4 linked regions of the Lepisosteus oculatus genome follow. The protein of the gene in region 4 purifies or fractionates together with the protein of the main gene of each other region. This does not show direct contact. Links are inferred from orthologs where the notes say so. Each region holds a gene or a part of one and is shown on either strand. Other genes may lie near its edges.

The links.
Region 1: the proteins of itcha (region 4) and CASP8 and FADD-like apoptosis regulator purify together in Homo sapiens (affinity purification with western blotting; 8 studies listed by BioGRID). This does not show direct contact. The link is inferred for Lepisosteus oculatus from reciprocal best matches to the Homo sapiens genes ITCH and CFLAR.
Region 2: the proteins of itcha (region 4) and amot purify together in Homo sapiens (affinity purification with western blotting; 3 studies listed by BioGRID). This does not show direct contact. The link is inferred for Lepisosteus oculatus from reciprocal best matches to the Homo sapiens genes ITCH and AMOT.
Region 3: the proteins of itcha (region 4) and lysosomal-associated transmembrane protein 5 purify together in Homo sapiens (affinity purification with western blotting; 3 studies listed by BioGRID and IntAct, with this or other methods). This does not show direct contact. The link is inferred for Lepisosteus oculatus from reciprocal best matches to the Homo sapiens genes ITCH and LAPTM5.

The regions. Positions count from the first base shown.
Region 1 is NC_090707.1:26,008,077-26,016,370, forward strand, and holds the start of CASP8 and FADD-like apoptosis regulator, read left to right. Parts: upstream 1-5,262; 5' UTR 5,263-5,453; intron 5,454-5,487; exon of another isoform or gene 5,488-6,094; intron 6,095-6,444; 5' UTR 6,445-6,524; intron 6,525-6,531; exon of another isoform or gene 6,532-6,641; intron 6,642-7,716; 5' UTR 7,717-7,815; coding exon 7,816-8,108; intron 8,109-8,294. UniProt on the Homo sapiens protein: Apoptosis regulator protein which may function as a crucial link between cell survival and cell death pathways in mammalian cells. Acts as an inhibitor of TNFRSF6 mediated apoptosis.
Region 2 is NC_090703.1:34,849,677-34,857,494, reverse strand, and holds the start of amot (angiomotin), read right to left. Parts: upstream 3,305-7,818; 5' UTR 3,213-3,304; intron 2,387-3,212; 5' UTR 2,344-2,386; coding exon 2,256-2,343; intron 1-2,255. Other genes in the region: pgk1 (phosphoglycerate kinase 1), read right to left, coding at 5,066-5,106, 5,629-5,727, 7,225-7,402.
Region 3 is NC_090706.1:9,720,791-9,728,275, forward strand, and holds the start of lysosomal-associated transmembrane protein 5, read right to left. Parts: upstream 3,293-7,485; 5' UTR 3,227-3,292; coding exon 3,128-3,226; intron 1-3,127. UniProt on the Homo sapiens protein: May have a special functional role during embryogenesis and in adult hematopoietic cells.
Region 4 is NC_090711.1:15,290,353-15,298,637, forward strand, and holds the start of itcha (itchy E3 ubiquitin protein ligase a), read right to left. Parts: upstream 3,380-8,285; 5' UTR 3,225-3,379; intron 2,986-3,224; exon of another isoform or gene 2,874-2,985; intron 1-2,873. Other genes in the region: necab3 (N-terminal EF-hand calcium-binding protein 1), read left to right, coding at 6,362-6,487. UniProt on the Homo sapiens protein: Acts as an Acts as an E3 ubiquitin-protein ligase which accepts ubiquitin from an E2 ubiquitin-conjugating enzyme in the form of a thioester and then directly transfers the ubiquitin to targeted substrates.

The sequences.
Region 1 (8,294 bases), on a different chromosome or scaffold from region 4:
TCTCATACAAAATAGTGCTGTCTCTCTAGAAATAGGGAATTAACTGTCCATAGTGAACAAGTACAATATTCCAATTTGATCACAAGTGATGGCAAGTGGGAACTGAAGTAGTTTGGACTGGTACAGCGTGGATTCTGCTACTTGATTCTTGTGAGTGTACCTTTCTTAAGCATAACTTATATGCTCTTCATGCAGCTACATCTAACTTGAAAGTTGTAAATGAAATACTTGTACTGGGATCCTTTTCTTTCCATTAGGTGGTGCTACTCACCACCATATTTCCCAAGACATGCCTTTTCTGCTGTTTAATTAAAGGCTTATATTGTGTGTCTATCTCTTATGATCATATACACACTTGTCGATTACATTCACAACCACTTCTTAAAGGTTTCTTTACATTACTGAAAGGTAAGAAATCCATATTTTTATGTTTGTTTGTTTTCCCTACAGTTTTTTCATTGTCCTAGGTAAATCACATCTCCTGATTTAAAAACAATCATTAGTATACACATGAATATACATAAAGTACATGTGAGAAATGAATCTGTAATTTTATGGGTGGTCCAAAGGCTAAAGATCCAAAGTAGCTTTCAGGTTGGCAGTTGGAAAATAATTGCCATGGGTAAAGATAGTATAGTGACCCAAACAGCAGGATACTTGCAGACTATCTGGCCACCTATTAGCTTAAGGGGAACCACAACAGGTTCTTGACTCCCAGAACCAACAGTGCACCCACAGACCTGACAAGACAGTTACCCTATCTAATGTCCCTTTATTATATTCTATTAAACTAGCAGTTATAGTATTGAGCATCACTGCTGACATGACAATTTTTATTCTTACGTCATAAGAATGCACAAGGGGAACACACCATAACACACAAACCCTTGTGAACCACAGTTACCCAAAGCCAAATGTCCCAAATGAGAAGTCCAGCATCACTGTTCTCCGAAACAGCCCCAGTGACCTCCTCCATTTTGTTGCGGAGAGGAAACTTTGTGCAGTCTTTCAATGGTATTGGGAATCCTCTTTAGTCCAGGAACAAGTAATAGGTTTATTCCATGCTGAAGAGAGAAGAACAAAAACACAACATTTCGGCTGTGGAGCCTTCCTCGCGTGTGAGCCAAAATGTTGTGTTTCCTTTCTTCTCTTTTCAGCGTGGAATAAACCTATTGTTCCTTTGCAGCCTACGCATGCTGACGCAGATGCCCACCTGAACCTCTTTAATCCAGGGTGTCATGAACAAAGTGGTCCTTATGCCACCCCCACCCTAATTTCTCTAAGTCCATTATCGAGTAGGGAGAATGATAGTGATGCCTGAGGCTTCCTCTTCTGCTATCTGTAGTTCTTCTCTGTCAGTTCTCTGCTTGAGTCTTTCTGACAAGGGGTTATAAAACTCCCTTCCTGGACATCGCTCAGGGCTTACTGTGAGGTATGGGTGGGGTTCTTGTGATATCTAGGGTCAAGGCAGAGCCAACAGCTTGGGGCTAATTAACAAACTGACTGTATGCAGATAGCCAAATGTCATGGAGCTCTGTCTTTTGTTTTTTTCCTGCCCCCTTGGCTGTCAGAGTCTCCATGTAACCATGCACTCGCCTACACATTACAACACGCACTGTTCACTGCAATTAATCTATTATCCAATCACTTTTCCCCTTTTCACTGGACTTAAACCTTTCTACTGCACCTTTCCATGCTCACTATTGAGTTCTACTCGCTTGAGCTAAATCTTCCTTGCCGCTTGTTTATCTCACCTCTTCAGATTACGGATTTTGCCTTCCTAACGACTATGGACCTGCCTTACGGATCCAATCTTGGTTACTTGATACTACTCTTTGCATTATGGATCTTGGCCCTCCTACTGACCACGGACCTGCCTAATGATTTGGACTTCAGTTAAAGAACACTTTCTCTCTCTTGACCCCTTACACCAACCCCGCACAGGGTCCTAATTTTCCACCTACTGGTCCTTGACATCAGCCCCTGGTCCAGTCTGCAGTGGCTCAGTACCACAACATACTTCAACATGCTAACCCCTATTGTGCGGTGATTGAGTGGCATCTGAGAAAACTGTCCTTCAATCTTTGCTAACTAGCACCTGGCTTATTTTTTTGTGTTTGAACACTTTGATTAGAGTGAGGATACACTGGCCACTGTATGCCACCTAAAGTCAGTCTAGTTCCTGACATCTTTGGTTTTGTCATAATCATAAACGTTTATTTATAATTAACGTTTATATAACTGACAGCTTTTAATTCAAAATTTAATTTTTACTTGGATACAACAAACCACTAGATTTATTAAGACTAGCAAAACTAAATATGGTATGTTTGTTTTTTCTTTTAGATTTTTGAAAATATGTGCCAATTATATTGGTTCATGGGCTTAATAGGTACATTTACCCTAACAGTTTTTTTGCATATACATTTTACACAACTTAAAATGCTCCATTCAAGCAATTTGTTGGTATAAAGATTCATTTAAGTAAAGAGCTAAGCTGTAATGAGAAACTAGCAGGTGTGTGGATCCACAAGATCAGAATTGGTTCCCCAGAATTATATCCACATAGCACACTTGAGAAGCATTTTGGGACAGATAGTTACCTGCTCAGCTGTAAAACAGGATGTGACAGATGTTTCTCTTACTGGACAGAAGTGTTCTTCTGTAGCAGGGTGAAGCAGCTGACTTCAGCCAACAATTCATTCTTGCCCTATAATACACCATTCTCAAAACACTTTAGAAACATGCTGACTGTAAGCATTTTCCTGAACATTGTTCAAGCGTAGGAATCCCCAGTCCTGGAGAGCCACAGAATGTATGTTTAGGCCAGAAAGACCTAGTTTGCGGGAAATTGCCTTCATTGAGCGCAGCTGGTCAGCATACCAGTGGGCACAATGAGTAAAGGAGATGCTCTGAGTTTTAAGAGGAGCTAAGGTGTCAAGAATAGTCAAGAAAAATATTAAACATTTGTACTTTTTTTCACCTTAGAAATATCGCAAGACTACGCCCTATGCTATCATTAACTGTGGCTGAAAAGCTGATCAACATATTTGTATTCTCTCGAATTGACTACTGCAATGCTCTGCTCCCTGGGGTATCTAAATCTACTCTGAACAAGCTGCAGTATGTCCAAAATTCAGCAGCCAGAATCCTGACCAGATCTAGTGCAAGTGTTCACATTACTCCTATCCTGGAGTCCTTGCACTGGCTTCCGGTCAAATTCCGCGTAGACTTTAAAATCCTCATGCTCACCTACAAGGCTTTACATGGCTTGGCACCTCAATACCTGTCTGAACTTTTATCGCCCTACTCCCCACCTCGCAACCTCCGCTCTTCAAATTCTGCCCTCCTTACTGTCCCCCAAGCCCGTCTACATTGTATGGGCGACAGGGCCTTCTCCTGCTATGCCCCCAAGCTCTGGAACTCCTTGCCCAAGGATATTAGAGAGTCACCTTCTCTAAACTCCTTCAAATCCAGACTCAAAACCCTCCTTTTCAGAAAAGCCTTTACTTAACTGCTTCCATTCTTCACCCCTCTGCTCTTCTTAATACCATCTTCCACGGTCTCCTCTATTGTTATTGGTGTATTGTTGTAATTATAATTGTGTCCTGTCTTGTGAAATTTTCTTATTTATTGTTGTAGTCTTCTTATTTATTGTTATTGTCATCCTGTAAAGCGCTTTGAGAAGCCACCTTTAAAGGCGCTATATAAAATAAAGTTTATTATTATTATTATTATTATTATTATTATTATTATTACTTTGTCCTTTACAGAATCGGAATTCAAAAAGCAGGAAAATGAGGACAGAGCAGAATTTGCAAACATTCATTGGTCAACTGATCACCAGCTGCGAAAATACACAGAGCATGAGAGTGAAAAATGTGAAATAGAAAATTCTAAATCAAAAAGAATAGTTAAGTGGTTAGAATCCAAAAATAATTAATTTCAGATATGCACTCAAAAATGCATTATGTGTGTTGTCATTGTAGAATCTCTAAGGCTTCAATGAAAATGTAGAAGCATTTTCCTGGACATTGTTCAAGTGTGGCAAACCCTGGTCCTGGAGAGCCACAGTCCAGCAATTATTATACATCATCTTTCCATCATTTTCTAAAGACTCAGAAGATTTTAATATTGATTAATTCAACATGTTTATCGATTCCATTTATATCGGTTGGTTAACTCTTATGTGCACATTTCAAGAATTTAAGCAAGGATCGTCCATCAACAGTCATGGAGCGTGTTGCTGTATTAATTTCAAGTGCTCTCCACACTAACTAAACAATTCATCTGCTGAAGTGAAAACTATTATTTTAAGAGTTCAGAAATGAATTTGACCCATTACCCGGTACCCTTTTGCTGCTTTCAAATGCTATACTGTAGTGTTTTATTTATTATCTCAGGAGCACTACCCTGCAAAAGGTATTCCACACAACATCTTCAGAATTGAAGCCCTCATTGTCAAGCATGGGAGGTTTTATGTTTGGGATGATTTGAGGGACGCTAAAATACCATCATATTACCGGTAATTTTGAGTTTGCTTTAACCTAACTTTCGTAATTTTATTTTAGGGGTCCATTAACTCACCCAAAATATCAAGAATGTCACCTGTTCCAAATAGAAGTTTACTTTGAAACACTAGTAATAGGTGTGGCTTAGTTGTGTGTGTTAACTTTCGTTTTGAGTTTAAGGTGGTCCTTTCCCTGGGTAGGAAGTATAAATACAAGGTGTGGTCCAGTTCGGCTTCGTGAAAAAAATTATACCAGAACACTATTCATTGCTAATAATTTATGTTGTGAATGTAGAAAAATAAAATCTAAAAATCCCATTGTGTGGTGCTTAATGTCACGATGATCGTAATATCGCACATAACCCAATTAAGACGTTCCCCCTAAATACAATAGTTTTAGGGTAACACGCCTATTAAAATATTCCTATGTGTGCCCCTAAGATAAAGTATTTACTCGAAATGGCTGTACAGATTATATGTATCTATTCTTAATATTTCTAAAACGTGGTAAATACAAAAAATGTCTCCGATACACGTCAGTGTTAGTCAAGAGAACATTTCCTCATATCTAAGTTACAATATACATTACTAGACTACTAGATTTAAGCTAGTGGTATACTGGATGTGGTTGTTAGACATTTAATTTTACGCATAAATTAAAATGTATACTGTCGAAACTGAGGATGTGATTTTTCTTGGGTCCCCAGATATTACCATAACGCTTGGGGAACCTTTTCTGGAATTTCCATTGAAAGGCCGTTATCAGCGGAATTCCACCTTAATAAAAATAGTATTTCGCTTTCTTTTCTATTTTGTTCACATCTAAATGGTTACCATCGAACAATGTGGTATGTTCATTGTGATTTACATAGTGTGTAGTCATCGATTTGCATTCTACGATTCACGCATTCTGGTCAAGAGACAACATGTAATTACTTTTAAGGTAATCCGAAGTGGAAATCCTGTTTGCTGGGCGGGGTTCTTCGTTACTCCTCCAGTTTCGCAAGTAATAGAGGAATTAGGAGGTCGCAGTATTTAAGCTTTTTTAATGTTATTTGTACTTTGAATTAAACTAATAAGAAGCACTTTTTAAATCGATTTTTTCTAGACTTTAACCATAATAACAGCGCAATGTAACCATCTTGAAATACGCTAATACGACAGAGTGCATTTAGGTTTTCTTTTGTGATTCTTCTGTGTTTGTGTACACCCCGTAGATTTATGGTACTTAATTCCAATTAGAACTATCGTATCATCGTCCAAGTTTAATGTCACGTAGATTAGCACTATGTGTTGCATAAGTAAACACAACTGTTTGTAAAAAAAACAACGTTCTCTCAGTCCCAGCGTTATTCTTTGTTTCTTTCTGCGTGGGCAATTTATTTCATTTTCGATTTCAGTAAAAAATGTACTAGGAATTTTAGTGTCATGGAGACAAAGTGACTCACATCCCTTTTCTTGTGTTTTCTACCACGTATGTCATTCACAAATATAAAATGGAAATACCAAGTAAAGTCCTTATTTATATAACCATCAATATTTCATTGTCGGTAAGCGCCACGACCACCGAGTTTACAATTGAAGGTAAAATTATGCAGAATATTATGTGACCTTGTTTCGCATTGCTTTGTAAAGATCAGACCAATGGAATGAAAAACGACTCAGTACTTTTTAAACTCTGAGAATACAATCCATGCCTAGCTACAGATATCGACTTATTTACTATTTTTTTTGTTTTTGATATTCACTGTCGTGTTTTAAATGTTTTTTTAAGTTACATTGAAGTCGGAGAATGACATTTAATAAGGTGGTTTGTCGAGTCGCAAAAGTATTTGGCAGCTGTTATCTTACAACACGTGAACTTTAAGCTTGCAATTTAATGTGTCGTGGTCTGACGTAAATCTTCATTTCCATATTCTGTATTTTTGTTTCAGGTATATACAAGGTACACTATGTGATATTGAAGGACAGTGTGGACTCCTGTTTTATTGACAAAATTCATAGAGTCATGAAGGTATGAAACAATAAATACGTACATTTAATACATGCGCTGAGAGGGAACAGTAGGAGCCCATGAAGAGGAGAACTACATGTCTACAAGTGCATGTCACACAGTGAACACATGTACTAGGTGAACTATATCACTGAACTGCATTTTTATTTAATAGCTGTTTACTTCTGTGGGTAGAATTACAGGGTCTGAAGGATGTGGACCACAGTATGAGTTTGAATGTGATCAAATGTTTTCTCAAGCAAAAATGTAGTGTTTCCGTTTTGTTTCTTCTTTTGAGTCTTATTTTAAGTATATTGTTAATAGACGCTTAAAGCACAGGGATTTCAGTTCTTAACAGGCATTGATGTTCTCTTTGAATCATCAGTAGATTGAATGGTGAATTTGGTCAAAATAACATTTCTGCACAGAATTTAATATGTTCATGATTTGAAGAACTGGATTGTCTCTTACAGCCCAGAGGTTGAGAACAGTGTGCTAGGTCAAAGTGTGTTGTTACTTCTTCAGCCTTATGTATATAAAATATATACGTCAATTTGAATTAATTCAGAACAAGTATTAATTAAATTGTAAAACAAACTGATTTTTATTCTGAATGAAACAAACTAAGGAGTTTAAATTCAGATTGCAGTGAGTATTACAGTATATAGGCTGTTCCAATCATTTACTAAATAATTTATTTTGGTTCACATTGCCTTCCAAAATGGAATGTTGTTCTGTGGCATCTGCGAGTCTCACGTTCAAGAATGAATCTCAAGAATGCAGGCTTTTACAAGGACTAAATATATCTGGTATAGAAAAATATACTTACAGTGGCATATTTATTAAAAATAAATAAGATGCATATGGTGACAGTGCAGGGGTGTTTCCTCATTTTTTGTTTAAAAAATCCATTATGTAATAACACTGCTTCAGCTATTCTTTTTTCTCTTTCCCTGAAGGTTTTTTAATTTTGACTTTTGATTCTTAAATCAGGGCAGAAAAATTGTTTTGGGGGTTGAAAAGAAAACAAAAGTAACTAGTCTCCTGAAAAACTAGTTAGTGGTTGATACAATAATAATTGGAATAATAATTAGATTACTGGGTCTCTATTATTTGGTTGGGGGGAGTTTTATATCTTTTCTTAATAAAACCTACTTTTTCTTAACATTTAACATCCCAAAGTCAATATTTTATTTTTTTCATTTTTTGGCAGATGGTATTAAAATGGAAACAGCTGCAGAGATTCGAGGTGGACAATAGGACAGTCGAATAGTCTGTATTTTGATTTCTAGCATGAGAGCACACAATTGCAATGGCTGAGGGACATTTATCCCTAACAATTAATCAGATTGCAGATGAGCTCAACTCTGAAGAATGCAAAACATTATTTTATTTGTGCGGCAACCTGGACAAGTGCAGTTCAAATGAAGATGTCAAGGACATGTTAAAAGCTCTGTTAAAAAGTGGGCAAGTGGACCATCAGTTTTTGTTGTTGGAACTTACATACAGAATCAAGCGTTTTGACATTTTGAAAAGGGTGCTAATGACAAATAGAAAGGAAGTGGAAAGCATTCTGGGAAGGAAATGCTTCATTTCTGATTACAGGTAACTTTAATTTTATTTATTTGAGTGATGCATTTTGTTCCCTCTTAATCTTTTCAGTTTATTCACCTGTTTAATGTAATAAACCCCAAGTCCAGATGTTTCATGAACATTCTGTTCTCCATACTTAAAAGGAAAATGAAAGAATGCCCATGTCTGTACATTAGTGTTCATGGTAACTATTTTGTT
Region 2 (7,818 bases), on a different chromosome or scaffold from region 4:
CAATAATTAGACTTAAGTACAATTCAATGCTATTAAAGGATGAGTGAAAATATCGTTTAAGAGTGCCCTCTAGTGACACAAACCCGGCATGAAACTCTTGATCACATTGACTGGGAATGAGAAAACGGGGTTGCCGTTACAGATGCCTCAAGAATGAGTTCCCAGATTCTTCTGGCTGTAGTGTGCCTTTTCAGACTTTCACTTAGACTTGAAAATCCACAGAATGTGAATTACGACAGTGTAGACAGCCTATGGTGTAAGATATTATTTGCTACACTTTTTATCCGAGGTGACATGCTTCCAAACATGTAATTCTGGGTTGTTTATGAATGTACCTTAGGTCTCAGACCTTTGTTTGGGATGTTGAGCTGTGTGACAAGGAACCCTAAAATATGAAATTAAAAAATATCTGGCTAACATTAACTCAATAATAGGTTTTCATCATCTACGCTCCAGTGCCAAGAATCCCTTCAGATTCTTTCACATATTGAAACCTTAGATGTTACTACACCTTGATCTAAGTCCTAATTATGAACATAATCTGATGAAACAAATGACACAAAACATGATATCCTATTAACATTTATCTTCAAACAATGCAACATTCAATAGCCATGTGTGACAAAGAATGTGAACCTTTATATTCAGTGAACTGGTAGCACAGCCTTGAGCAGCAATGACAGGAGCTCAACATTTCCTGTAACAGCTGATCAGTCTGTCACATTTGTAGTGAGGAATTGTGGATCACCGTCTTGCTGCAAGACTTACATTTGGCTCAACTTCAGATCACAGATTGATGGCCTGATGTTCTGTTCTAGACTCTTCTGATACAATGCAGAATTCATGGTTGTGTTGGTCATCCAGATCCTGAGGCAGCAAAGCAACCCAAAACCATCAAGCTCCCACCAACATGGTTGACAGGTGGGATGAGGTTCTGTTTTTAAAAGCAGTGTTTGATTTATGCCAAACATAATGTTCCTAATTGAGGCCAAAGAGTTCTATCTACCGTGCCTGTCAAGAGAACATTTATCCAGCAGCTTTGTGGATAATCTATGTGCTCTTTGGCAAACTTTAAACAGGCAGCAATGTTACTTTTGGAGAACATTTTTCTCCTTGCTATCCTTCCATGAATACCATTCAAACCAAAGTTGTCTGATAGTTATGAATAGTCACATTAGTGAAGGCAAGAGTGGCATGCAGTTCTTTGGATGTTATGCTAGGGTTCTTCCTCGATGATTCTCCAGTTTATTCTTGGAGAGACACTGGTAGCACAACATCTCCTGGGTAGAGTGACTGTGGTTTTTAACTTTCTTCATTTGTATACTGTCTGAGAGTGAATTGGTGGAGCCCCAAATACTTAGAATTGGTTTTGTTAGTCTTTCCGGTCTGAAGAACATCGATGGCTATTTTTCTGAGGTTCTCTGAGAAATTCTTAGACATGTGGCATGACTTATTTCAAACACATGCATGGTGAAGGCCAAACTCACACCATTTCTGATCTTTATATAGGTTGGGGCCTTACAAACTCAGCCCCCAAGGTCTACCTAATTATTTTAACACCTGATTCTAATTATTACCTTAATTAAGCTAATTAAACTAGGGGTTCACTAACTTTTCCCCAATATCAAATTTTACTCATTGTTCAATTCAAACATCATTTTGTTTTAAGAGACAAGAAATATGTTACTATAATCATTACTGGATACTTGCGGAAAGAGTGTTTTTTATTTAAGAAGGCCATCAGGGTAAGACTATGAAAATACCATTTTTCTTTGAGATTTGATACACTGATTCACTATGTTTTTCTCGACCCTGTATCTGTTGACATTACAGATGAAATCTTGAAGTCTAGTTTGATTTCTCACCTTTAATAAATTACGAGCTGCATACAACTGTAACTACCGCTTCCTTAAGTTAGACAAAATATATTTGTTATTGGATTGGGCAAAATCGTAATAAAACAGAACACATTCTAATAAGTAGTTGAAACATGGATGTACAGAAAATGTATGGACATTCAAATAAATGGGGTCTACTTTAAATTTATACATAATTATGGAGATGATAAAATTTCTTGATGGTTTTTAAGTGAAATAATTTATGTTCATGTTATTAAAACACTAATATATATTTCTTATATTTTAATAAAAGAATTAAACACTAATTGAAAAACTGTTGAACACTCCTTGACAATGTAGATGAGAAGCAATCCATTTTGGACTCTGGTAATCCTGGGGCAAAAGTGCACATCATACCTAAAAAGCTCAGAGCATGTTCAGGGAATCCAATATGATTGATCCAGTTAGCCACATTCTCTGGACTCCATTCTTCCACAACACTCATTGTGTTTTCTTTGACTGTCTCCAGCCCTATCCCCTTCTGTGGCCTGAGGAATAATAATAAAATAATAATCATCATCATCTTTTTTCACTGACTCTTTCCATCAAGTGTTTACAACATAACCATGAGCTTTTGAATGGTCGATCCAACGATACTATGACTGTATCAATCATCCATTTAAATTAAAAGGTTATTGTCTTGACTTGGATTTTTATCCAAGTTAACCGTTGAATTGGTTTAGAAACGGGCGATTCTATATGTTGATGCATTCCTAAACAGTTGTAAATTGTTAATAGACTGAATATTACCCATTACCAGTAAAATATTTCAAATTTGGAATGCCCCATATGTTGGAGAGATCCAAATATATAAAAAATAAGCCACATTTACTTTATCCAGGAAGTGGTACAAAGAAAGCATTTTGTGTAAGTTCCAAAAATATGTTGCAATATAAAAAAGCACTTTTAAATTTCACGGGAAAACTACAATATGATATACACGGCGTACATAGGTTTTGTAATACATTTGCCTTTACAGAAAATCCTTTATATTGAAGTAGACGTATAAGAATCACATTCATTCTTGTGTTTAAACCCCGATGCTGCTTTTTGAAAGAAGGCTGTATTTTAAAATAGGGCGTTTAAAACAGGAAAACACCTGAGACCATTTTGTTGGCTTTGTACATAAGCCACGTACAGTACTGCCAGGCGTACCCGGCAAACTCCATTGCAGATTGCAACGTCCGTGAGTCCGAAGAGCCGGGCCGTGACCCAGGTACGCTTGTTTTTCAAGAAGCAAATCCGTCCAGCTAATACTCTTTTGTATATTAGACGACACAAACGACGAACATGGAATAATTTGCATAAACTCACCTCGCTTCTAGTTCATCTAGATCATGTCCAGATTTAGCTTTACAGCTCTAAAAAGACAATGTAATTTCCCACAGAAACGTTCACCTGGGCAGGTAAAAGGGCGGAGTCAGAGCAAAGCTGGTCAGGAGCATTGTTGGTATTGTAGTCAATGTGTGGTTTACAGAGCTTTCCTGATCATACTATCTGAACGTAGGTCACATTATTTTTAAACACTTTGAAGCATAACATCAAGTTTGGATAAATTATTCCATTCGGATTGTTATTCCAAGAAATCCCATATGTCATCATTGTTCAAGACATAACTTGATAAATTTTAATTACATAGCTAATTCAATACACACTCTTGATAAAATAAGGTATGCATGACCCAGACGAAGATGCTAAGTTCCAAGATATACCCATTGTCATGTGATGTACCAGCCAACGATGTCCACGTTTATCTGTCCCTTCCAAAACTCCTGAACGATAGCATTTTTCGCATAGTGACTAGTTATAGCAGTCAGTTTACACAGTTTAATATTGTGGAGTATCCATGAAACGTATTAGTTTGTGTTCTTCAATACCAGTGCGTTCTTTTCAAAGAAAAATAAGATTACAGAACATAGATTAACTGGAAGAAAAAAAAAATCAAACCCATTTGGTCTTCTAACCATTTCTTTCAAACATGCTTCAACAGAACACAATTTTTAAGGTGCTAATTTATGCACCTTAAAACACTACTATGCAACACTACTGTCATGAGAATGTCATCAATTTTTCATTTGTAAACATGGGTCACCACTGCCGCCAAACAGTAGACCTAGGACACTACATTCTTTCCTAAACTTTCATTTGAGTCATTACAAAGTCTCGCAGTACCTTACAGAATGCTTCAGATAAACATTTAAGGAATTGTCTGGTTCACAAACAGAAATGTGCAGGTCCCAAGCGAGTGATGCGTTACCCAGGCCAACTCAACAAAACCACAGAATTTGCTGCACATGGCCAATTGTGTGCTATTGGCTGTGGAATCATGGCTTCCACCATCTAGACTTGAAATGGTGGCTTCTGTACTGTAGGGTTGGAACTTCTCAGCAGGCATCTTTACTTACCAGTGGATCCAATTCCTAGTTTTCTGGTCTTTTTATTTTTTTTAGGTTAAAGTTTTCATTAAAAACAACATAATCCCAATCAATCACATTTGGAAGCAGGCAAGGAGAAATAGTGAATTCTAGGATTATCTCCACCAACAATGATGAAAGAAAACAAGTGACTTTTTACACTGATCCTTTTTATTTCATCTGCATACTTTGTCCAGACATCTTATCAACCAAAGAACTACAAGCTGTGGCCAAAGAACAAGACAGATGCTCATGGGGTGGCGTTTAGTACAGACTGAACCGTTGATAGAGGCAAAAAGATACAAAATATAAATTCTAGAGTTACACAAACGTTTGGATTTTTTCTCTTCTCCAAGACGCTAACAAGTGAGGCACACATATACACATAAACATGATCACAAATGACCAATTCCAAACCAGCAGCTGCCTCAGGTGAACATCTCCCTTTTGAGAAATGAGGCAAAGTGCAAAGAGGGGTTCTGCGTTGCTTTCAGACTTTTTATTTTTAAAAAGCAGCTTGAGAGTGAACAGCAAAGCTCCCCCCTCCTCAGTTAAGTGCTCTAGAGTGGGTCTTAGCACATTTTCAGGTGTCTTTCAAGTTAAGTTAAAAGCTTTTCTGTAACCCTTGCGCAGTACAGAGGGAGGAATTCATCATTTGTGCTACTGCAGTACTAGATAAGCGTTTCATGGTAAGAGGTTCCCTAGGGCTGTGCACTGAAACTCATGGCTAGGATCTTCCTCTCCCCTGGGCCTTTAGACATTGCTCAGAGCATCCACACCAGGCAGGACTTTACCTATTATAATTAAAAAAAAAAGAGAAAAACAATTTAAAATTATTGTACAGAACATCAGTTATCTTATCCCTCAAAGACACATCTCTTGTTGAAAAAATAAAGCGAAGAAATAATGTACTTCTGTGAAATAAGGACTTTTTTCAAGACAATGACAAAGTACTTTTGGAAATATTCTGCAAGCTGTATGAGATGTCCATTTATAAAATAGGATATTCCTGTTTTATTGGTCCAATGTCAAAAGTATAAAGAAACTTGTTTTTGCTAAAAATAAAATCATAAGGTAGCATGGTGGCACAGTGGTCATCACTGCCACTTCCCCCCTGGGTTCAATTCCTGGGGTGCTATCTGTATGAAGTTTTTATGTTCTCCCTGTGTCTGCATGGGTTTCCTCCAGGTGAAAGTGGAATACTGATCATTGTGAACTGGATACTGGAGGAGCCTATACTATCTGATGTTATGCAGTCATTGGACTATTGCTCAGAATTCAGCTCCCAGAGTTCTCAGCGCCTCAGGTTTTCATACCTTCTAGCAGCTCTAAGCTGGCTCCGCCCCCAGTGCTGACGTGGCTGACCTTGTCCTCGGTGTCCCACTTTGCACAGCAGGTGGCCGTATCACCCCCACCTTGGATAGGAACACAGCAACGTGAGCTGTCCATTATAGCCCCCACACCAGCATGACAATTCACAAAAGGTCCAATCAAATCCCAGCACAATTCAGGCAGCTTTAAAACATTTAAGGTCAATGTGCCACCACTCCTGTGGACAGTTTTAATGTTTTTAGTTCTGTAAATTCTTAAAATACCATTGATCACTAAAATCAAGTTTAAAAGACGGAAAAAACACCTTTTAGGAGTCTTTTCGACTTCACGCCTCTGAGACATCCATTTAAACACAAAAGAGGTCAGATTTTAGATGTGAATTAACTGGTCACATACCTGCCAAAACACTAGATGAACTATTCAGTATTTAGCAATATTTCCTATGGAGGTTAAATTCTAAGCTATAGGTACCCCTTAGCCCCATCTAGTGGTTGAATTGGTTTGCAATTACAAAACATTTTACTTAGATTCACTTTTGAGGCAAAATGGACGTTTCCAGTTGTCTCTGGTAGTGCCAAATGTCCAAATCCTGTTTCAAAAGCTAAATCTCCTTTTGAAGTCAGGAATGTTAGGGGGTGGTTAATTGAACCACATAACCCTCAACAGTCTATATTTAGGTATTTATGTTGATTATTCCAATATCTTCAGTTAATTAAAGAGCTATTTTTCACCACATGTGGAATCCATACCCACTTAGATTCACTGAAATTCCAAACATTTGCCAATTTAATATAGATCTTGTTTGCAAATAAATAAGCAAACAATTGATACTGGAAACTTCCCGATAAGATGTAAATACTTTCAAATAACAGAATGCTAGAGCTTCTACATTTTGCATTTATTTTTTTCTTGAATCTATACAGCCTGGACCTGTAAAACCTCCTCAATCCTCTTCTTTTAACATGGTAGATTCATTAACCCCAACTCACGACCAAGTGAAGGTGCCTATGTGCAAGCTTGTAGCCAATCCAGAATCTTTATTTTCTCAGCCAAGATTAGCACTTTCCTACTTTTATGCTTTCAGCATCACCACAGGCTGATAACTTGCGGACACAACGCAGGAACAATATACTACAAATTGAAACAAAGGAAAGTGCACAGCGAAACACTGTAAAGCATAGGAGAAACAGAGTATGGACCAGGAAGCTGGCAGCAGCACAAAGATGCCCAGGAATACCACAGGATTCCTGAGAAAAATGCAGGATTTTGACACAGGCATGCAGCCTAGTGGAATATATTTCAAGGATTAACCGATGTTATAGCATATACTTCATACAGCACTTTTTGGTTACATTTATTTTGTGCTTTATAGAGAAACTGAATTGGAGGGGGGTTACTGTATCCAGTTAATAAACAATTTGTTATCATTGTTCATCACTTACTAGCCAGGAAATAAAATGTGATTTTCCAGGTTTTCTGGGAATTGTGAGAAGCCACCACAGTTTTGAAAGCAGTTTTCTTTAGAAAACAATATGGAAAATATATCTGGGAAAGAAAGGCTGAAGATGGCCTTTACTTACCGATAATGGTGATGCAGCCCTTCTGAGTGGCCTCTACCACTTTATCCATGAGGTTCTTGGTTCCACTGGCAAATTTGTCCCACTCGAACACTCCTACAGGTCCGTTCCACACGATCTGCTTGGCTCTCCCCACGGCTTCTGCAAACTTCTTTGAGCTCTCTGGGCCACAGTCCAGGCCCTGAAGTACAAAGATAAAATGGATAAGAGCTTGGAAAACAGAACTTGAGAGGTAGAAGCCCTTAATACATCAGACATTAAAGTAGAAAAAAGTTACATAATGAGATCTAACTTGCAGAGAGCTACTGTTTTCTCTTGGTTAAAACATATTTTTCTAAAGACTTGGAACACTTTACAATAAAGCAGGAGATTTAAGTAACCTTCAAACTTAATTTGAAAAAAAAAACACTCATTCGAGAACCTAAATAAATAAATCTAGTAGCTAAGTGTTTAGGAAAAAGTGATTTCAGGGGACATAAAACAACTTATTTGTGGGGAAAAAAGATTCAATCCAGGTAAGAAGTTCAATACATACAACATTAATCAGAAATTTACAACATGCTGCTGAAGCTTTACATAAGTTCTATAAAGCATTCA
Region 3 (7,485 bases), on a different chromosome or scaffold from region 4:
AAATCTAAAGATACAGGTTATTTCTACAAGGGTAAGTCCAGGTATCAGTATTCATAGTTCTTTAAGCCCTACTGGTATTATTCACTTAGCACCAAATAAAGACACAAATAACATAGATTAATTGGTGTTCTTCCAAATGATTAGTTCAGTTAAGAAATTAAGGGGGAGGATAAAAAAACAGAGGACTCTGTGATCCTTATCTAATATATATAGTACATGTGTATGTTATTTATCTGTGATGAACCGCTGAGAATCATACTGAGAATCATATCAGTTTAGGCTTGGAGGAACTGTACAGTATGATTCTCCAGGTCATGTCTTCTGTGGTGAGTGTCTGACTTCCCCTTTGCAAACATTTTCCATTAGACAAGTTGCAAGATTGAAACCGGCAGATAAGGTGCACTCATGATACATGAATCTCACGACCAGTGATGTCTTTCAAATTAGTATTTATTTCTCAAAATAAGGGCACACTATTTCTTCCGTAGTTTTGATTTGACAGGCAAATTATATGTGACTCAACATCCTAGCAAAAGGTCTAAATATGCACTTTATACAAGATGTTGGTTTGAAACAAATTGTCCTATTTCAAAATAGTAAGACTTTAAAGCTAGACAGTACCCTAGAAGGTGTGAATGTCTATAAGTGTTTTTCACTGTGCACATTTTGAAAGGAAGATGCTAGATTACTATACACCTACTGTATTAGAGTTTAATATCATGCTTTGTATATCCAAATGTACTCATGCAATTGGATTAGTAGCTTCTTCAACCTATATGATGTACCAAATCAACTCAAAATATTGTGTGGGCTAGGATAAGATTCAGTCATCTGCACATACAGTATAAATCCTGACCGCCAACAATGAGTGAAGGAGAAGAGGCTGAGAGGAATGACACAGAAAAAAAAGGTATAGGATTTCCTATTTCTCAAGCTGTAGCTAATTGTTGTCTGCTTTTGACAGTATCATTAGTTGAATAAACTAATGTGATCTGTTGAGGGAAGAAAGTGATTAAGAGAAATCAGTATAAAGACTCCATTAATGGCACCCCTGCCACAGCAACAATCAAGAGACATACAATACTTAATTTTGCCTTTGGGAATATTTTGTACTGTCTTCACAAGCTGGCAAAACACAACATACTATTAACTTTGACATAATGGGGGAAAGATAAGGTAAAGGATCCACCTTGTCTTGCAATGCCACACTATAGCGTCCATGGCAGTGTGATTTGAATCTTTTACCTGCTTCAAGGAAGGAAATGTTTATCTGTGCTCATAAATATCAGCATTATTTTAAAGGAAGTGTTCTAAGATAATTTTCCAGGAAACAGACCTACCCTCCCTAACTGTACAGTTACACTGTTCATTAGTTTCCTTGCCATACTTTAGGGTAGAGAATAGCTTTAGAGATCAGATTATTTATTAAATCTGAGTGACAATGAAGGAAGATTTCAGTCTGTTTCCTAAGTTTGTGTGTATATCGTTCATTGTTCCTGTAAATGTGAAATGTAGTGTGTACATGCACGTCATATTTAATATTAAATTCAAGCATTTTACTTACTGAACTCTTACTCCTACATACACATTGTCACTTTTAAACAATCCATTAAAAATAAGTTTCTCATCTTTTTCTTTCCATTTATTAAGCACCGCTCAACATATGGATGTTGGAATTTGAAACGGGTTACATTACAAAGGGTGGCATTAGAATATGATAAGTTTGGAGACAGGGAGTGGACGAAGGGAGAGTATAACATACAAACAGGTGTGTATGTGGAAGAAGGAGAGTAATTATTGAACACTGGTGATCTATGGTAAATAGCTCCCAGTCACAGAGACATTTCTTTTTTATACATGAGAGTTGCCAGTACTAACAGTTCTGCCCTCATCTGTTTCTGTCATAACAGGAAGGTACACATTCACAGAAAAACACATAAACAAGACTATAAATTGAATAAACCACTCTCTTCACTATGGAATTATTATTTTTTCCTGGAACATAGAATTCCTAGTTTTGAAGGGTTGATATTTTTGTGAGTTATGCATTCTGACACATAACTACATAAAGTGTGGGCACCATCACTTATTTATAATTTTTTAAAAAACTTATTTAATGACGACATGGTTTCCAGCTTTAATAAAATACTGTAATTAGCTTCGTTCTAAATGCAAATTAACCAATTTAAGACACAAGCTGGTGATCTTTTCCCAGCTGCACATACAGTATAGTTTGTTAAAAGGATTTTTATCGGTTAAAAAATTCATATTGTGTTGTCAATGTTTTCAGGTATTTTGATTTCTTGATTTGAATTTCTATATTTAAGAATACTGACAGGCTGTCACAGTTTTGAAAAATCCTTCCGAATATTATAGGACAATGCTTCTGGTTTCAGCAGGGTAGATGTTAAAATTATTCACTCAAGTCTGACAGGCTGTACTTTTTTATGAAATGAAGACAAGTGAAGCAATTAAGATCAGAATGTTAATAGTATGGGTCTTCTGTATTTTTCTTGCTTACTGAACATAAGAAAAGGTTCAAACATTCAGCTTATTCAACCCCATTCAATAAAGGAGGTGGCAAAGTATTAAAGTAAAAATAATAGCGAACATTAGGTATTGTTGCTGCTAGTACTTTATCTTTGACACTAGTCACTAGAATATCTCACTAAAACACATTTATGCTTTTTATAGCTAAATGGCATGATAATTTAATTCTAGAAAAGAGCCTCCTTTACATACAGTTTTAACCTCATTTCACCTTACACTTCTCCAGTTTAAGTACTTTATAGCTCCAAATTCATCAAATGTTTCTGATATTCTTTGTATGAGCACACATTCCTGGAATACTGGATTTTTTCACCAAGTTCAAATTAATTTGATAAAGCACTATATGGTTTGTACCCGTTGGTTTCAAATCCATGAAAAGAAACTCACGTAAAGAAAACAGGAGATGAACAGGTCCCATGAGTTGAAATTAAGTGACAACAATTGAGAAGGAATATTCAAATGGTTTTGTATAAAAGCTCAATTGGTTTCTGTTTTGGTACATAGCAGTATAACTGACTCAAGCTCTACACTGAATGCACCTGATGTCTGCATCTGAGATCAAAGGCAAGGCTCTTACCAGGTAATATACACCGATGCTAAAGGTTGCAGTTCGGATATCACAGCAAAATCCCCGATAGGCAAAGGCCAGATCAACAGAATTTGGTTTGGACATCATTTTGGCTTCTCAAAATGATGCGACTTCTTTGGTGTTTGTCTAGAGAAGGAAAGTGAAGAAACAAATAGAACACAACGCCTCGAGCCAGGCTTCCTTCCTGTTCGTCACTCAGGAGTCACATGGTGGCCAGAGAGAAACCACCAGATATTTATGTGCCCGTTAAGAAGCATTGCACACTGTTGGGAACACAAAGAGCTAACATTCCCCTCAGAATGTCCAAGAATGTTGAGTGTTCAAGCTCAGGTTTTATGACCCCAACCCAGTGCTGAAGGACTGTAGTCCTGTAGATTTTCATACCAGAAAACACTCCTCACAATCTAATTTACCTAATAAATAGGTTAATTACAGCAGTTGAACATAATTTGATATGATACTTCAGGTGCGCCTTATTAAGAGGCTTCTAAAACTCCAAGAAAGAACCCCTGCTTTAAAAAAGAGCAGTTTAAGGCTGCAGTTTATTTGAATTACTAATAATTTGGTTGAAACTTTAGTAATTATCAGAGAATGGCTTGGGACAGATATTTATTAGATGCAGAAAGGGCATCTTTGAGTGAGTACTGGAGTCTTCTACTTTTCATTTTGGGTCTCAGTTCTTTAACTGAATCAACTAATTAATGAAGATTAATGTACCTTTGAGCCCCAAACTCTCCAAAGACTGAGGGACCATTGCTTGTCTGTGAATTAAAAATGGCCTTTTAATCCATCTTGTTTGCTTTTTTTTTTTGCTATTAATGTATTAATCAATTTCTTCAATGGATCCCAGGAAATCCGCTTCACATCATGGTTTCGTAGGTTAATGATACTGTATAAGAACAGTTACAAATGAGAGGAGGCAATTTGACCCATGTAGCCTGTTTGGCAGTTAGTAGTTAATTGATCCAATAATCTTATTTAGCCATGTCTTGAAAGAGGCCAGAGTATCGACATCAACAACATGGCTAGGGAGATTGCTCCATACTCCTACAACCCTTTGCCCTCCTTTCTCAGCTTTAAATGCACTTCCACATGCTGTAGTTTTCATTAGTGCCCTGTGGTTCATTCAGAAGAAAAGTGTGAACTGCTGCCTTCAAAGAACAAAGTGCTGTGCAGATATCTTGTCTGGACAGTCCTCTTTAACAAAATATGGTACCAAGTTTCCATAATTAAAACAACTTCAGTTATTTCAAATAATACTTAATAAGTGTTATTCTACCTGTTTCACTTTCAAACCTGAAAAGAAAGCCAAGAAAAGGTTTGAGTTTAGTAGTTAGGGCAGCTTTTTAAATTCATATATACTGTATAGTATAGCACATACAGTCGCTGCAACAGTTTGAACTTCTGTTTTTTTTTTCCTTCACTGACAGCAAATATACGGTCCATTTATTTTCTAACCTCTTTATCTAATTCAATGAAGCAGGGGATCTGGAGCCTATCCCAAAAAGCAGACACAGACAGTCACAGGGCCAGTTTTCCCAGAAGCTGATTAATATACCAGTATGTCTTTGGACTATGGGGGGAAACCCATGCAAACATGAGGAAAACATACAGACTCCAGACAGATAACACCCTGGCAATTGAATAGGGCCCCAACACTTTGAAGAACTAATGCAAACCACCACGCCATCACGCCGCCATTAAACATACAGTACAATATTTGTAATTTAGAGTGGATATTTGAGAGGTCTGAAGAGCAGACAGACCAAACTTTTCTAACAGCTAAAAATGTACTGAGTCTCTCCTACATTTTTAATGTGCCTTCTTACCTTACACATTGTTGTAAATCAAGTGTCTCTTTTAAATTAGAAGAAACTAAATGCTGTTGGACAACAGAAACTGCTTGCATAGTGTTTACACTGTGTTTAGAATTTCAACTGTACCATCACATCTAAAGTTTACTGTTATGGTATCAGTTGCATGATCTGCCCAGACTCCATGAAATTTCTGTTAAACAAACTTCTTTAGCTGTATCACTAGAGCTTGTGTGAGAGACAATCACCCTTTCCAGACAATTTAAATAGGCAAGACAAAGCTACATCAAGATATGTAAACTAAAAAATTGTTTTACAGCACCTACAGACTAAAACCGTTCAGACAAGGTGCTGTCAGTTTGCTACAAGCCATCTTTCATCTGGTTATAAAAATACAACATACTCTGGTTGTTTGAGAAAATGTTGATTCACCACAACTGCTGTTTTACAGCTTCATCTGTTTAAGACCACATGAAGCTGCATTTTTTCATTTTTTTGTTTTTTTACACAGCATCGTGAAATGCTGTTTAAAGTAATTTTATCATGCACCTGCACAGCCTTGACGTTCTCTTCAGGTCTGAGGTTTACTGTCCTAGACATGCACAGCAGCACCTGGATTTAAGCCAGCAAATTCACAAACTATGACATCTGTGGCATAAACTGAATATTATGCATTTTCATGAATGGTAAAAATTCAAACTTATATACTGAACGCATTATGTTCTAGTTCATTTCATTGACAAAAAACAATTTTATGAACGGCTGAAAATGTAATACATTCATAAAGGGCAGATAGTTTAGTTTGAAGGAATCTCTCATACAAAATAAGTTGCAGTATTTATGGAATCAATTTGGTATATTTGTAAGTAACTAATTTATTCAAGATCTATCAATAGCTTATAAATCATTAATAAATGAATCTGTATAATACATGTGCCACTCCAAAAGCATTGCTGATACAAGCATTTATTCACACATTAGTTGAGCCTTGCAAGTACAGGTTTTGCTATATGAGAGAATTTGATATTCTGTAGGTGGCACTTCTAACAGTAAATAAAGGGTCCAGTCAGTTAAATATTTACAATACACATCACCACATCTAAAAACTAAATATAGGTAATATCTAGTCAAGAAAAACCTCCATAAATTTGGTGAATGTATCATTTGACTAGTATTATAAAATTAAATGCAGGCTGGTCAGAGGGAATATCAATATAGCAAGTAAGGGTTGAATTTGATATACTGTATCTGCATGTAGTCAGGGTGAACACATCTTCTGTTGTGCAGAGGAACACTTTTGTATGTTAATGAGATGTCACTTCCTTTTGAATTATTTGTGACAGTGAGAACACACACATTTGAATGCTCTGTGGGGGATTTGTTTAAAAATAGTTTAAAACTAGTTCAAAGCACTCTGATGATTTAAAAAAAAACAACAGAAATAACTGAAACCTTAATCAAGTATGGACACGCACTGTCCTGAACAATAGCTGCTGTTGTGAAGAGGGAGTCAAAACACACAAAAAAATACAAAAATAGTGTTTTAAGATCTTTGGTCAGCTCAGGTATCATCTTAACAAGCCACTGTGCCACAAACAAACACGTGGTCTTGGATTTCTGATGCCAGGGGCTGTGCTGTGCGGTTTTCTCAGTTGTGGAAAATTACTGTCTGAGTTTCTTCACGTAACACACTTCCCAAATAAACAAGAGCACAGGGACTAGAGAACCAAGGCTTGCAATACATAGCCTGGAAGGAACAAAAATTAGGAATATTTTAGGAAGGAACAGAAATAGGGATTATTATAGAAATAAATCTGTTTCCTTGATTAGCAAACGGACGTGTTTCATAGCACAAACTGTTCAAGCTGCCCTCCTTCTGCAGAGCTGTGCTAACATAACCATCTAGCTGTCCAGTACAATCCTATGGGTCTGCACTGACTGACCTGAAAGGCTACAACTGCACTACGCTTTAAGGAGGAAATGATCTTTAACATTGCCAGACAGAAGAAAAGTAATCTATCAGTCGAGTTCAAATCACAAAGCTCTAATATAGCCTAGCTTTTCGGGGAACTGTTAATAAAATGTTAATTAATAAAATGTTCTTTCTTATTAAATCACAGCCATCGTATGAGAGGGGGCTATTGAGAGCACCGTGATCATTTACTTTTTAAAAGCCTAAGTACCCGAGATCATGGATTTATGTTTGAAGTATAAATATACTGTTATAGCAGTTCAGGTGGGTAGCTGCATCAGCATGTGTAGTCTGCAAAGGAACAAGTAATAGGTTTATTCCATGCTGAAAAGAGAAGAGAGAAAACAACGTTTCGGCTGTGAAGCCTTCTTCAGGTGTGGTTGTTACATATGCTAAAGACTACTTCTCACTAATTTACAAAAGACTTTCCCTGATCTGCTCTTTTCACTAGGCTCAGACAGCTAAGGCAGTTAAGGTAGGGCGTCTGAGCCAAGGTCAACCAGCTATTCCCTCAACAAGGTGAGTGATGCCAACAAAATGTTTTCCAATAAACCTTCAAT
Region 4 (8,285 bases):
ATTTATCTAATTCAGGGTCATGGGGGAGCTAGAGCTTATTCCAGTAAGCAACAGACACAAGACAGGATACCCCCTGAAAGAACATCAGTCCATCACAGGGCAGACACAGACACACACTTACACTAGTGTCAATTTTCCTAGAAACCAATTAATTTACCATTAATTGGATTTCACTGGGGAAACCAGAGCACCCAGTGAAATCCCATACAAACACAGAGAGAACATACAGATTTCTGGCAGGTAGCACCCCAGGTCTGGTATTAAATCCAGCTCTCTAGTGCTATGATGCAACAGTGGTCACCCCCCATGTGTCACCCCTTATAGCCGATGAAGTGGGGTTAAAATATCTTTGGGAAGTATATAAAATAACTTAGTGGAAGGTACATAAGAGAACTCAGTGACAACCCAAATTAAAATATAGATTGACATCTTATATCACAATATAAAACTATGTGGCCACTGTGCTTATCACTGACCCACAGCAAAAAAAAAAATAATAATAATAAAGAGAACACTTTTGTTTACTGTACTGTATTTATGGTGCAATGATAAAAAGAAAAGCTCAGAGATTGAGATCATTTCTTCACAGGGACAAAGGTGCAGTCCTATCTTTCCACAGAGGAGATGGAATCACATGCAGCTCCTCACGAGTGACTCTACTGGTTTTTGTTCTGCTAGAAGGGATTTGCGTATCTTTTTATCACAGGTGAGGAGGGCCCAAATACCAGGGAAAAGCAGGAATGATGTATTTTGCTCAGGACCAGAAAATAAGAAACAATATTGTTTTCATAGATAAATGTTTCTACTGTAGAAAGATGAAGAGAAAGCTGAACTGCTCCTGTCCAGAGATTTGTGCTGTACTGTGCTGAAAGTTTCTAACATCCCAAAAATACAGTATACTTGAAACTACTTCTATACAAGGCACACATCAAGTTGGACAAATAAGCCTGTTCTGTACACACACACACACACATTATTTCAGTGCAAAACAGCAAAGTAAAAAGAAAATCAACATTTGTTCTTTTCTACATTTCAGCTGGAATGAGCCTTTACCTGCTCCTTTGCAGCTCGCAAACTGACAGCTCCTAACTTGAGCATCTTCAATATAAAACTACTTGACAAAGCTGGGCAATAGGAACCACGGGAATATTTTATTTTGGTGTGTGTGCAAGAAAGGGATTATTTTTAAAGAAATTATGTGGAAGGTCTGTGATTGTGACAGACATTTTGTCTTTTTGCCCAAAAGGTAAACTGCATGTACTCTGCCCGCCCTCCTTTCTATACAGAATCTGCGTTAACAGTTTTTACAAAAAAAAACACTAAAAAAGTAACAGAACATAAAAAAGAACTGTTCCTTAACGTTTTCCAGAATCATTGATCATAGCATCTATCTTTTTAGAGTCAATTCTGATGTTCACATTGTAAAGCTTGTTTCAGATGACTTTTAAATAAGGTTGGTCTTGGAAAAAGAACTTAATCATGGTTTGTGGCCCTTAGGTCACATTCAGTGAGGCAAACACGTTTCTAAATAAATAACATTATATGTTACAAATACTATAAAGTGTCCACAACCTTCCTCACTGACTGAACTTCCAGCTAGTGGGTAGTCACTTTACTTTTCCCCTCTCGCGTGCTCCATTGTCTATTGCAGTAGCCTGTCATCCACAAGCTTTCCACTGTTTCTCATTTGATACAATACTCCAGCGGAAAAAAAAAACGTTTCTGAAGACGACTCCATTTAGCTGCTTTAGAAGACATTATGTGTGAACATGGGTTTCAGAGACTGTGCTTTGCAGAAGCCCCTTGATGCATTCTGTATGGCTGGTGTGTGTGTGTACTGCATTCTTCCCTGCAGTAGGTCTTGACGCGTTTCAAGACTAGCACGCAGCTCATCCAGCAAGAGAACCACACAGATCGAAGGCAACGGGACACAGGGCAAAAAGAAAATAAAAACAAAATTCTGACAATTACAGAGCAAAAAAGATCTACCTGTACATCTGTACAGTATGCCAATCATACAAATACACATCCAAATACTTACAAAGGTCTTTATGAACCCATCGGGTACACGAAGCATAGAACTGCATGTTCTCGGCACCCTTCAGAAATTCACAAAACGCAATTGTGTTTGCAAACTAACTTCAAACAGTATTTCCTTTACTGGTCTGACTCACTCTGCGCTTCCTGATCAGAGCACTGACAACACAAACAACCCTAAAAAGTACACGACCATGAACTCATGGCATTATGCAAACGAGGGCTTGACCTGTCTGGGGAGAACTGCAACTTCTAACCATCGCGTTTCATTTTATTCAAAAATCGTGTACGTTTACAAATCATCTTTAAAGTACAGTCTGCGTAAAAATTATATCTAAAATATCAACATATTATATATATATAACCATAAGGGTGTAAGAGAACCTTATTAGTATGCATTGATATGTGTCGTGCACTCCATTTCCTTACATATCAATGCACTGAACCGAAACCTCATTCATAGATATGATAACACTTCTTATCGTGTTGAGCTGTACATTGGTACCGAATATAATGGTCATTTTGTTGAGAAATAACTCAGCAATGTCGACAATTCGAAGAATACTGTATAAAAACACATCAAAAGATGTAAGAGACAGACTTACAGACCAGTAACTCTTACTAAAATAAGATCTCACCCATATACAATAGTTAATGTGAAACACCCTGCCCGTTCAACCAGAAGGACTTCGTACTTGGTTCAGCGGAGCGGTCTTATTTATGCAAATAAATCACCTTCACGGTTTCTTTAATAATTTAAGAATCCCCTTTTTACACATCAAGGCCTGACCTTCGCAAGAACTGTCATTTCTTGTCGGACAACAGTGCCTCTCTTGACGCTGTAAACAACCCCACTGAACACAGCAGAAACTCGACGGTCGGGTGTTTACCTGCTTGGGATAACAGTCTAACGTCAAAAGTTAGGTCGGGAAGAGTGACAACTACCTGGTGAGTATCACTTATTCAACTGGCAATGAATTTGTGATCTTTTTATTGAATTAAACCATACGTATTATACAAACATATTCGAACGATCGGTTTAAGCCGAGTCTCAGACCCAGTTCGGCACCTGGGAGTTACGAAGTAGCCAAAACGCATCGACAGCGACTGAGCAGACATACACTATATTTTAAACAGTAGCGCTTTAGATGGACTACTAAGGCATTTTATACAAATTTAAATCTTACCCGTATCTAGGGGGAAACTAGCGTTGCTGTACTATATCTCTGTGTATCCCTGAAGAGCTGTATTCCTCTTTATTTTGGGATCCACTCCAGTTTCACTCAAAGGAAGAAACTTCCACCATCTTCGTAACCTTCTCACGTGACAAACGAAGGTGGGCCGCCCATGACGCACGACGATGACGCGCACGTTTACGTGACGCATACCGGAACCCCACCTAACGATTGCTCCTTCGGTCTTCGATTGGATAATGTAAACAGACCCCGGACCTCTGATTGGTCCATCTGTTGGTCGTCACGGCGGCTCGGAAAAAGATTGCGTTCAGGTCGCTTCCTGTACCAGCACATTTTTAGTGTAAGTACAGTACATATTAAGCAAGTCCAAATTCCTCTTCGGTCTTACGCCATATCCATATCTTCAAAGCTAGACATTATTATTTACATATCAGATAAATAAAATAAACTGAACTTATCAAACTGATTGACTATGTTCATAATATTTAGCTACTTGTTAGGGTGGTAGCAGAGGAAAGTGGTCCTCAAAAATGTTGGCAGAACATCACACATGAAGCTAACTGCCTGCCTAACATGAAACAGTGCACTGATTAATAATAATAATAATAGCTTACACGTATATAGCACTTTTCTGGACACTCCACTCAAAGCACTTTACAGGTAATGGGGACTCCACCACCACCCACTCCACCCCTCCACCACCACCAACGTGCAGCATGTGACGGCAGCCATAGTGTGCCAGAATGCTCACCACACATCAGCTATCAGTGGGATTGGAGAGCAGAGTAATGAAGTAGATGGGGATTATTAGGAGGCCATGATTGGTAAGGGCCAATGGGAAATTTGGCCAGGACGCCAGGGCTATACCCCTACTCTTTTCGAGAAACACACTGGGGTTTTTAATGACCACAGAGAGTCAGGACCTCAGTTTTACATCTCATCTGAAGGACGGTGCCTATTTACAGTATAGTGTCCCCATCACTATACTGGGGCATTAGGACCCACATGGACCACAGGGTGAGCGCCCCCTGCTGGCCCCACTAACACCTCTTCCAGCAGCAACCTTAGTTTTTCCCAGGAGGTCTCCTATCCAGGTACTGACCAGGCTTACACCTGCTTAGCTTCAGTGGGTTGCCAGTTGTGAGTTGCAGGGTGATATGGCTGCTGGCTAGATTAGATAACAGATTGGACAACAGATTGGACAAGAGCGTAAGAAGAGCTACAAAAAAAGAGGAAGCTATTCTGGTCAACCTGCTGCTCACAAAAATCTTCTAGGTTTACAATATCTAGAGAGGAAACAACCTCCTTATATTTTTCCCCTAACTGCATGATTATATTAGAAATAAATTTTTAGTCAGTTTCTTTCTCCATCTCATACTCTAGTGCATGAGACTAGTGGGGGGGTCTTCTTCCAAGTCCACATAAGCTTTCATTTTCTAAACTGTACATTAAGTTTAAGAAGAAAAAAGGTGTCTGAGACCAGCAGTCCTCTGGTTCTGTGCCCCTTGGAGAGAAGAATTTGAAGCCTGTGAGTGGTCTGAATCTCAGAGGAGACCTGTGAAAACCAAGACTCCACTACAGACAGAGGAACCCACAAGTCAAGGATAATGAAATACAGGTTCCAATCGAGGACCACTTGTTGTGGACAAGTGAACTGAAGAAGCCAGCTGGCTGTCATCCTGCTTTCAACCACCTTTATCCTTAAACCTTTCATTACCACTGAAAATTCAAAAGGCAGATCTGAGAGAGCACTCTGAGTTAGTACCATCAGTTACTGTTAGCAATTACAGGCAGCATGCAAATTGAGCTTGAAAAGTGTGGAGAAGGCCTGCATCGTCTTCCTTGGCCAGAACAAATCCCCAGATTTCAATCCCAGATTTCAGTCGCTCATCACAACTTCAGTCCCACACAACAGCTGCCCCAAAACCATCTCCACCAAAGCTGCTATACGTGATGGAGCTGAGCTGCGAGGACAGTGTCTGTGGAATGCCTACCAGGTCTTGCTCCACCTGTTTTTTCTGTTCCTAGAGGCACAACACAGCATGCAAGGGCAGTTCCTATTGTTCGAGCCAGTGAGAGCAAAATGATCAGCTAAACTAAGGAAAACTAGCTGGAAGGCAAGACTCCTCCTTGTCAGTACGGCTAACACTGCTTCCCTGGTCTTGCTGAGTTCCTGGCTCATTCATCGTGAGGACTCTAGTGATCTGATTATAGAATTGAATTTATTCAGGTGCTGGAGCTCCAACTGCACTCTTTGTGCTTTACATTGATGCTGAAGCTCACTTAGTTTGTCGTGTCTGTGCCTTTTGGCACACTCATGCTCAGGACACAGACTTTCCCTTCCACGTCTAGTTGAAGAGAAACCAACTGCTTCATTGTTTTCGCCTGATGTTTTCAACGCAACAATCAAGGATCCGACAGGAAGGGCACTTTAAAATCAGGATAATGGTTTCGCAAAAGGCAACGGTTTAAAATCGCGTAGTTACCAGTAGGTGGAGCTGTCGGTCTGGAAAAAGCTCGTATAATAAAAAACAAAGCGCTTCCCAATACTATACTTAATGCAACCCCTAAAAACAATGCTTTCCATCAATCATTTAAGCATAGCATTTCGAATAGTTTTATTTATTAGTCACTTCTTGGTATGTCTTTAAAACGACTCAGAATTAAATTCCTTTGACACAGGCTGCGTCATAGGAATTTGAAGTGGAAGAACAAGTTAATAATAACCCGAAACAGTAATCCGATTGTGCCTTTCAAAAATGCCAGAGGCTGTAGCCATCCTAAATGCGCAATGAAAGAGAAGCCTTCTGTGCATCGCTTGCTTTAAAGAAGCCCCTGGAAGGAGCCAGCCAATCACGTCAGTGGAGGGCGGGGTTACTTTTTGTAACGAAGGAAAGTTGCTTGGATGCGGAGCAGCATCTTAAAGCACAAACTCGGCATCTCAGTATTCCTTTCCTTAGGCAAGATTCTTCCCAGATGACAGGAGGAGATCCCTTCGAGCACTGAATAGCGAAACCAAACCGCACAAATTAGAAATTAATCGCCTGTGTCCTCGGACCTATTTGCGAACAGGGTTTAAAAACGATTTCTAGATACTGTACACACATCTTTCTTGCAAGGGTTTAAAAATGATGGCATGCACAGAGATAATCACGATGTGCCTCCAGTCTGCAAAGCAACAACACTTGTACTCCAAACACCAGCAGCAGCTACTGCAGAAGAATCCCGTCCAAGGACTTTCTATTTTCCAAGATGTAAGTAAAATACAGTATATTATAATTTTATTTAGTAATATATCGTCTTCATTTATTAAAGGAACACCGAGCACATTTTTCGGTGTTGTTCGCTGGAAACATCATAAGTGGTGATTTAGACTTGAAAATCGCATATAAAGCGCAGCATCTTCAGTAAGCTACAACGTTAGGTGAGATTTATATGGGTTTAATTTACATTACAGATTAAAAAAGGAATATTAAATTACCGCACAAAAGTAAAATAGCTACAGTCGCTGTGAAGATTACTAATAAAAAGCCACGAAATTTATTTCTGAACTGTAAACTATCAAAAAGGTTTTCTGTTGTATCAACCAAGAAATAAGCTAAAAAGCATATTTCCTCTTGAGAATTGTATAGAGCACGTCACTTTTAATCGTAAAACAGCCGTGTCCTACCGTATGCGCTGCTTCACCCTCAAACTGCGCCCTGTGACACCCCGTATCAGGTATGGGCGTTAATGTATGAACCCCACCACCAAGACTCGGTGTTTCTGTCTCGTTGTGTCTTTTTACTGCTTCATAAGCAAAATAAATTGTCTGAAATCGTCAAAATGTCCATTTCCACTAAACAGCTTCATAAAAAATCACTGTAGGTTAAAGGTTTTTTTTTTTTTACCGACGTGTATACTTCACGCATTACTCAGCTGTTGGCGGTAACTCGTTAGGCCTGCTGATGACTGGAAAAGTTATTTTTGATTAATGTGTCGGGGACTGAGTTGATAATTTTCTTCATCAGTCCTAATTTGTATGTTCTCTAGGTTTCGTTGTGTTCGCTATGTACAGTAGTGTAAGTTCGGGACAATCTTCAGTTCTGATGGTAGCAACGTGGAAGCGAATCAACTTGTCTCAGATCGAGGTGTTTGTTAGAAGGGGGTTTATCAAAGCTGTCAGATCGATTCTGTTGTTCTATACCTCGAACTACACGCCAGTTCCTTTAAACAGGTTTCGCTCTTTCCTGACACAAGACAAAGGCACCAGGGCTTCAATTGAACAGAACAACTTTTTGCAGTATCTCCATCAGCAGCAGGATGGGGAAGTTCCTGTAGTACAGTGCCAAGTCTTGTGGAATTATGCAGCTTCTGTGCTTGCAAGAGTGCCCTGCACTTCCTTGATGTGGTTCACTTCGGGGGTGTATGAGGCTATATTTTTGAATAATCTTTTTAGCAATGTTAATGAGAGATATGACGTTTCAATTGCTATGCGCGATAGCGTCTGTCTCTGGAGTTCATGCATTTGAAGATTTGCCCTTGTCCAATATTGCCTGTATTAGCTCGAGAACGCTTTTATTTACCAATCACAGTGTGTGTCGCTTATCAGTTGATTTTTATTTTTCATGGCTTTGAAAAACTATGGTGTTTAATTTTTAGTATTCCATTCGATTTCGATGATTAACTTATTTGCATTAAATGTTATGGGAGTGCGGAACATGGTATCCTGATATGATGTGGAAGCCGATACCCAGCCTTCTTTCGTGAAAAGAGACTATTGGATCAATTAGCTGCTTAAAAAGTAAACGAGCTACTGTTCATGATCCGACTGGCCTTTCCTCGTTCGTAATCTTACTCCTGATCTAGTTAAAATATTGTATTCAAATAGACCAAAATATTGTAAAGTGGGTTAAAAACTGCACCAGTACCATTTTATCGGCGCAACAACACATCAGGAGGAGTGAGAAGCACATCTGCTTCTGTGTGTTGTGCTGATGCTGGTGACGGTCGGCGTGGATCGCTGTGTTACTGTAATAGGGCGCTTAGGACGACTGTTTTCACGTACTTTTG